Cricetulus griseus: one gene and its partner. The protein of the gene in region 1 purifies or fractionates together with the protein of each later gene. This does not show direct contact. Links are inferred from orthologs where the notes say so. Each region holds a gene or a part of one and is shown in the gene's direction. Other genes may lie near its edges. The genes, in order: myeloid cell surface antigen CD33 and Ptpn6.

Region 1 (4,398 bases):
GTAACATTAGATTCTATGACACAGGAAACCATAGGAATTGAACCAAAAATTGAATCTTTTCTAACAATCCGCTTATTCTATCTGACACTGCAGTGCCTTCTGATGGACATCTAACTGGGAGATACAGATCTGAGATTTGAAGCAAGTGCTGATGTTCAAGGTGAGGACTTAGCCGTGGCTGTTATCCACACCACACCACACCACACCACACCATGAGAAGCTGTTTATCCTGTACTGTTGAGAACTCATGTTCTCTTATTGTGTCACGTTGACGGTGCTACTGTCATTGGCACCTTGGGAATTAGTCCATTAGATTTGAGAGAAACAATTCCCAGTTCATGCTTTACAAATATATACCTCCATGGCAGGTGGAGAGCTCGCCAGTGCCAGCAGCTTTGAAGACAGCAGCACCAGTGTATGGAGAGGCTGAGACTCCTGCAAGGCAGGTGGCGCTGGGGTGGGGTGGGGGGGTAGACACAAGTTTCCCTTCTTGTGTCTAGTTCTGCAAAGTCCAAAGCTCACTGTATACTTCCTGGAAAAATGAGTGGGCAAACTCAACAGAGTCTGGCTTCATTTCATCTGAGATCTTCCTCCTAAGGAGAGGCCTTAGACTAAGGAAAGGTCTTAGAGTCACCCCTCTGTCTGGATCAACCCCGGTGCTGTAGGGAAGTCCCTCACAACTTGCTCTCTAACCTTCTCTACTCCTCCCTTCCTTCCTTTATTCCCTCCTTCCTTCCCTCCCTAGTGCCCTCTCTCCCTTTTTTCCTTACTTCTTTACTTCCTTCCTCCCTCCCTCTCTCTCTCTCTCCATCCATCCTTTTTCCTTCCTTCCTTCCTTCCTGTGTGCATGTGTGTGCATATGTCAGGTGTCCTCCTCAACTATTCTCTGCCTCATCAATTTTTTTGAAGATTTATTATTTTATTTTATGTTTATGCGTGTTTTGCCTGGATGTATATGTATGCACCACCTGCATGCCTAGTGCAGGTCAGAAGAGGATGTCAAATTCCTTGGAGTTGTGGATGGCTGTGGGACACCAAATTGGTCCTGGGAATTGAACATGGGTCTACTGCAAGAGCAATAAGTGCTTTAAACCACTGAGGCATCTCTCCAGTTTCTAAACCTCGTTTTTTGAGAGTCTCTCACTGAATCTGGAGATAACAAAGTCAGGTAGAATGGCTGGTTGACAAACTCTAGGGATCCTCCTGTCTCTTCCTCCCCAACACTGGGATTTACGGACATGCACTGTCATGCCCATATTTTTGTACGTGCTGTGAATCTGAATTTAGGTCCTTGTGTTTGTTCAATCAACACTTTGCAGACTGAGCTATCTTCACAGTCCTCCTTCTCTGTTCCTCTCTGCCTGGGTCGCTCAGGTCTCTTTGACATCTGGTTGCTGGGTTTTCCTATGTTCTCTGCAGACAGGAAGACTCAGGCCACCTGCAGTCCTTGGTTCCTCTTCTGTGAGTTGAAAGCTCTTGATTCTCTGCAGCTTTCCCAGTTCCTATAAAGCTTTGCCTGCTGGAGTCCTCTCTTTGCTCACTCACAGGAGCCCAGGCCTTGGGCAGGGATGCTGTTGCTACTGCTCTGGGTGTGTGGGTGGGCATCTGAAAACTACTTTCTTCTCCATGCAGAGTCCATGTTTATGTATGAGACATTCAAGGTGGAATTGCAGTCCACACTTGTGACAGTGCAGGAGGGTCTGTGTGTCTTCGTGCCCTGCACATTCTTTAGTCTTTTCAAGAACCCAAGTTTTAACACCACCGTCTTCGGCTACTGGTTCCGTGCAGGATCGAATACAGACCTTGATTTTCCAGTGGCTACAAACAACCCAGACAAAACAATGCAGGAGACTCACAGCCAATTCCATCTCTTTGGGGACCCAAGGATCAATGACTGCTCACTGGACATCAGAGATGCACAGAGGAGTGACAGCGGTTATTACTTCTTCAGAACGGAAAGTGATACCTTTAAGTGGAATTACTACAAAGATCAGCTCTTTCTGAATGTGACAGGTAAAGTACTGGTTCCATGTTGACCACAGAGGAAGCTCATGGATGCCACAAAGCAGGGCTGGGGTCATAGCCTGAGAGTCACTGGGGATGGAGTAGGGTAATGGAGGAGCTGGATCCAAACCTGGGCTTCTCAGTGGCTGTACTTCTCCCCTGTCCTGATCCTGCATCTTTTTCTCCTCACCAGCCCTCAATCACACCCCCAACATCGACATCCCACAGACTCTGGAGCTTGGCCATCCTAGCAACGTGACATGTTCTGTGCCCTGGGCCTGTGAAAAGGGGACACCTCCCATCTTTTCCTGGATGTCAGCTGCCCTCACATCCCTGGGCCCTAGGACCACCCTTTCTTCAGTTCTGACCCTCACACCTAGGCTACAGGACCATGGCACTAACCTCGTCTGTCAAGTGACCTTCCCTGGAGCTGGTGTAACTGTTCAAAAGGCTGTCCAGATCAATGTCACCTGTGAGTTCAACCCAGTGCTGGGGTTCATGGTGACTGTGTGATGGATCATAGTTGGATTGGGGACTAAGATAGACACAGTCCCCATACCTCTCGAATTCTACGCTTTCTGGACAGTTGTGGGGAATGGTGCTGAAACCTGAGATGTCAAGTTTTTTGTTTTGTTTTCTGTTTTTGTTTTTCCAAGATACTGCACAGAATACCGCAACCCACGCCACTAGAGGAGCTGGCCCAGGTAGGGGGAGTCATCTTGTGTTGCAGGAACAGGATCTCTGTAGCTTAGAGCAAGGTTCGTCCTTCCTTATCCTGAACTCAAAAACCCCCTTCTTAGAAAACTAATGACCTTTCTCATCCACAGTACATTCAAGTGTCACAGCACCTGTCCCCACCTATTCCTTGATCCTTTTGGGCTTCTGGGGCACTCTAGGGTCATTACAGGGATAGGCCAGCATTCACAAAACAGAATCACACACTCTAACACTTGTGTATGTCAGCTTGGATCTTATGGTGCATGCAGGAGACACAGCGTTATGGGTAAACATTCACAGAAGTTAGTCCCCTTCTCAGGACAGACCAATGAGTACACACAGTGCTAATCTATTGTTTGTCCACATGTAGCCTGAGAGGACTCAGGATATCAGTAGCCTAATGGTTTCTGTTCTCCATGACTCTGGTTCACACTGGTTGGATCCAGTTCTGTGGACATTTTATACTATTGGGCAGCCATCTCATTGATATCACTCTGCCAAAAGCAATGTGTGGTGAGTAGTTTTGTATGTATGTCTGTCAATCTGTCTGTCAGTCTTTCTATCTGTCTGAATTACTAATTCCCCAATACAAATTGCATCTGGATCTGGTGTCTTTCTAATACAAAGAATGATGACCAAGTGTTTCTTCATGGCTGCCGAACAGCAGAACATTCCCAGCAGGGAGCTAGGAGAGTGTATACTTCCACCAAGTCAGGTGGAGCAAACCCTTTTTGTTTGTTTTCATTTGGGTCCTGTGGACTGATCCTAGGATGAGCAATGACCCACCCCCTGTCCCTGGGAATCTTTTGCGTATTCATCAATATCAGGAGAAGTTTGGTATTGCTTATTTATGCACTTTGACCAGACATAAAGACAAAGAAAATGTAGGGACAGGGAGATAGCTCAGTGAGTAAAGGGCTTGCCTTGCAGGAACTGAGTTCAATTCCCAAAACCCACATTTCAGACACACACACATACAGAAGCTGGGAGGGAAGAAGGGGGAAAGGAGTGAGGAATGGAGGGACAGAGGGAGAGAGGGAGGAAGGGAGTTGGTATTGTGGCATGTGCTTATAATTCCACTGCTGGGGAGATGACGTCAGGCTCACTGGTCATTCAATCTGGCTTAACCAGATTGTTAGCTAGATGTTAACCAGGTGAGTCACAGGCCATTGAGCAACCTTGTCTCTTCTTGGCCATTATTTTCTGAAAAGTACTAGTTAAAAATCCTATAACAGTTATGAGCTGGAGTGTTCAGACCTTCAGACCTTCATACTCTATTTTTTTGAGGAAGGGCCTCACTATGTTACCAGGCTGGCCTCAAGTCAGAGAGAGAGAGAGAGAGAGAGAGAGAGAGAGAGAGAGAGAGAGAGAGAGAGAGAGAGCAATAGAGACAGAGATAGAGACATAGACAGAGATAGAGATAAATATGAAATCTGCCTCTGTCCTAGGGGCTGAGATTAAAGGCATTTGAGTTCTTTGTAATTTCAAGCTGTAAGAGTTCTTTTCTGGAGGCTGGAGAGATGGCTCAGTGGTTGAGAGCATTGGCTTCTCTTTCAGACCACATGGGCTCAGTTCCTATCACCCACATGGTGGTTCATAGCTGTCTGTAACTCCAGTTCTAGGGGATCTGACAGCCTCCTTTGACTTCAGAGAACACCAGGCACTCATGTGTGCCAA
Region 2 (3,770 bases), on another chromosome or scaffold:
TGAAATTAGACAGCTCAACTTTCGATACCAGCCTCATGGACTGGACTGTAGGCAGGTCCGGGGTCTGCATCATCTGTTTCCTCAGGGTGTGGGAGGTGGGGGGTGGGGGTAGAGGGCATTGGAAAAGGGAGGCATGCTACTGCACTTTCTCTGCTGCACGTGTCCTGGGCCAGCCCCTACAGTTTTGCCATGTCGAAGAAAAGAGAAAGGAAGTTCCACAGAGAGAAAGGACAGCTGGGCGTTGGTGGCGCATGCCTTTAATCCCAGCACTCGGGAGGCAGAGAACTCACAGAGGATCTCTGTGAGTTCGAGGCCAGCCTGGTCTCCAGAGCGACTGCCAGGATAGGCTCCAAAGCCAGAGAAACCCTGTCTCGAAAAACCAAAAAAAAAAAAAAAAAAAAAAAGAAAGGACAAATGCCCCCCCACCCCGTGTATAGTGTGTGTGTGTGTGTGTGTGTGTGTGTGTGTGTGTGTGTGTGTTTCTAGGGATAGGACCCCAGGTTCTTAAGCATGTGAAACACATGCTTTACCACCGAGGCATACCCTAAGTAAAATGTAACTATGTGTGTGTGTGTCTGTGTGTGGTGTGTGTACATGTGTGGGCATTTCTGTGGAGGCCAGAGGTCCTAGTGTTTTTATATGGTCTCTCCTATCTATATATCTATACTTGTATCTGTCTGTCTGTCTGTCTGTCTATAGTGTATGTGTCTCTCATTCTATGTGGCTCAGTGGCCTAGAGCTTGCTAGGTAGACCAAGTAGGCCTCAAACTCACAGTCAACTTCTGTCTGCATCCTCAGTACTGGCATTAACACACCAGGCTCTCCACATTATTTTTTGAGATAGGGTCTCTCACTGAACCTGGAGCTTATCACTTCAGTTTGGCTGGCTGGCCAATGAGCTAACCTAACCTCCTAGTAATGGGATTATATGGCCACTGTGCCTGGCCTTTTTGTGTACACTGGGGATCTGATACCAGGTTCTCAGGCTTGCTTGCATGATGGCCACCGAGCCACCACACTCATCCAAAATGTAATTTGTTTGTGTCTTTCTGTGTAGACTGGGCTGGCCTCCTGAGTGCAGGAATTAAAATCATATGCCACCATGCCTAGTTCCAAATGGAACTCTTTTTTTTGTTTTTTGAGACAGGATTTCACTGTGTTGTTGTAGCCTTGGCTGTTCTGGAACTCACCCTGTAGACCAGGTTGGTCTCAAACTCGGTGGATCCACCTGCTTCTGCCTCCCGAGTGCTGGGATTAAAGGTGTGCACCACCAATGCCCCACTCCGAATGTAACTCTTGAAGGTTGGAATGCCCTGAGGAGCAGGCAGGACAATGGCATGGTGTGGAGTTCTGTTTTTCCAAGGGATGAGGATAGCCGTCAGTTAGGAAGAGTGAAGGGTGGGAACAGAAAGTTGGGGACAAATGCTGCGAAGGAGGGAAATGATATCTCTAGCCCGGAAACTGGCACCTGCTTGTCCATCCTGTGACTGGGGCAGAGGAATGGGAGCAGAGACGGGCATACACCTGCTTCGCTGGCCTAATGACCTGGGTACATTACCGACCCTTGTGGCTGGAGCTTTGGATTCTTCACACCTTACCTAGTGCTGGGGTTAACCCCTGGCCTCCCCATTTCCTGGGCAGAGCTGGGCCTCTGATGGCGGTGCCTTCTCTCTGCAGTGCTGGCATTGGCCGAACAGGCACCATCATTGTCATTGACATGCTCATGGAGAGTATTTCCACCAAGGGTGAGGATCCTGGGGAACGAGAGTGGGTGTGGGGGAGGGGCAAGCAGTCCCTTGACCTTCGCCTACCCTGAAGTCCCACTGCCACCCTTGTCCAGGGCTAGACTGTGACATTGACATCCAGAAGACCATCCAGATGGTACGGGCACAGCGCTCTGGCATGGTGCAGACAGAGGCACAGTACAAGTTCATTTATGTGGCCATTGCCCAGTTCATTGAAACGACCAAGAAGAAACTGGAGATCATACAAGTGTGTGCAGAGTGGGGCTGATGGGTGGTAGGGGAGAGTGGGCATCACCCAGTCGTGCTGGTACTACCATCCTCCCACCACACCTTTGCCCACAGTCCCGGAAGGGCCAGGAGTCGGAGTATGGGAATATCACCTACCCTCCCGCTATGAAGAGTGCCCACGCCAAGGCCTCCCGTACCTCTTCCAAGTGAGTGGTCCTGCTTGCCCTCACAACATCTTCTCCCTTCTCCTGCCTAGCCTTAACTGTCCTTTCTGGAGTGGACCAGTGTGGAAGTTGGAGAGACCCTGGTTCGAGGTCAACCTTCTTCCTAGTACCTCTGTTCTTAAGTATTTTCTTTTTTTTTTTTTAATTATTTATTTTATGTATATTAGTGCTCTATCTGCAGGCCAGAAGAGGGCATCAGACCCCATTACAGATGGTAGTGAGCCACCATGTGGTTGCTGGGAATTGAACTCAGGACCTCTGGAAGAGCAGCCAGTGCTCTTAACCTCTGAGCCATCTCTCCAGCCCTCTTAAGTATTTTCTGAAGTGTGCGTTGTTACTCTGTGTGGGCCCATGCTATGGCCCAGCTGTGGACACATGCGTGAGTGTAGTCTGTGTCCTGGGAGCTTTGGGTCTAGTGAATGGACAGTGAGCAGGTTATCTAAGCTTTCCTGGCTTCACTGAGTGAGAGGGAGTGTGGAGGGTCTGCAGAGTCTCTGAATGTCTTCTCCCCTCCTCCCTCACCTCCCAGACACAAGGAGGAGGTGTATGAAAACGTGCACAGCAAGAACAAGAAGGAAGAGAAAGTGAAGAAGCAGCGGTCAGCAGATAAGGAGAAGAGCAAAGGGTCCCTCAAGAGGAAGTGAGCTGGGCCTTCGACTGCAGGTGGCCATGGTGAGGCCCCTTCTGCGTAGTCTTCTCTCTCCCTGCCCCAGTTGCTCCCACAGCAGTTCTGACATGCTGTGGGGAGGTCACAATCTAATGCTACCCTGCCAGGATGTCCCCAGATCTTCTCGTGCCCTCTCTCCAGGCCCCAGATACCCTCTGACCCACTTTTTCTCTTTTATCTGCAGCATCAGCATCAGCCTCAATCCCTGCAGAGGCCTCCACTGGGCAGATCAAGACCTGTGGCCCCCACACACCAGACCTTAGGACCACCCCATCCTCATGTATTTAAATGGCTGTGGTCCTCTGAACCTGTATATAGCCCAGCAAGTCTTCAGGCAAAGCCAGACTTCTATTCTTGTAAATAAAGCCCCTGGACCACTGTGTGTTGCCTCCAACTCTGTGTGTCCCATGTATCCTGGGACTCTGGGCAGGGTGGGACCGGGATGTTATGTGTGATTGCATAGAAGCTCAACTTTGTGGCTCAGAGAGACCTGGTTCTGGATGCTGCTTCACACAGCAGCCTGTGGCATTCCTAAGGCTTAGTTAGACTGCTCTGTGTTCTCCCTCTCTCACTCATGCTGGGGATAGAACCTAGGCCTCCTATGTGCTTGGCAAGTTCTCCAGTCTCTACAGCAGAGGGTGGTCTGGATTCATCTGCCCTCGTTAGCTCATGAGTGAAGATACGGCAATACGGCGAGTGCCAATAACAATGGCCACTGCTACATTCCACACTGGCAATGGGCCCAGGCACTATTTAAAAGACTATAGAATTAATTAATCCTAGGTACTTTAGTTTCTGTTTTATTTATTTTTTTGTGGTACTGGGGACAACGCTCAGGCCCTCCCTCATGCCAGGTAGTGAACAGCTCTCTCCCTGAGCTATACTCCTGGCTCTCAGTCTGGGTAC

The links.
Region 2: the proteins of myeloid cell surface antigen CD33 (region 1) and Ptpn6 purify together in Homo sapiens (co-immunoprecipitation; 4 studies listed by BioGRID and IntAct, with this or other methods). This does not show direct contact. The link is inferred for Cricetulus griseus from reciprocal best matches to the Homo sapiens genes CD33 and PTPN6.

Annotation. Positions count from the first base shown.
Region 1 is NC_048596.1:141,868,086-141,872,483, reverse strand, and holds the start of myeloid cell surface antigen CD33, read left to right. Parts: upstream 1-1,568; coding exon 1,569-2,013; intron 2,014-2,197; coding exon 2,198-2,476; intron 2,477-4,398. UniProt on the Homo sapiens protein: Sialic-acid-binding immunoglobulin-like lectin (Siglec) that plays a role in mediating cell-cell interactions and in maintaining immune cells in a resting state.
Region 2 is NC_048601.1:21,684,025-21,687,794, forward strand, and holds the end of Ptpn6 (tyrosine-protein phosphatase non-receptor type 6), read left to right. Parts: intron 1-1,677; coding exon 1,678-1,745; intron 1,746-1,840; coding exon 1,841-1,992; intron 1,993-2,087; coding exon 2,088-2,179; intron 2,180-2,726; coding exon 2,727-2,841; 3' UTR 2,842-2,869; intron 2,870-3,048; 3' UTR 3,049-3,244; downstream 3,245-3,770. UniProt on the Homo sapiens protein: Tyrosine phosphatase enzyme that plays important roles in controlling immune signaling pathways and fundamental physiological processes such as hematopoiesis.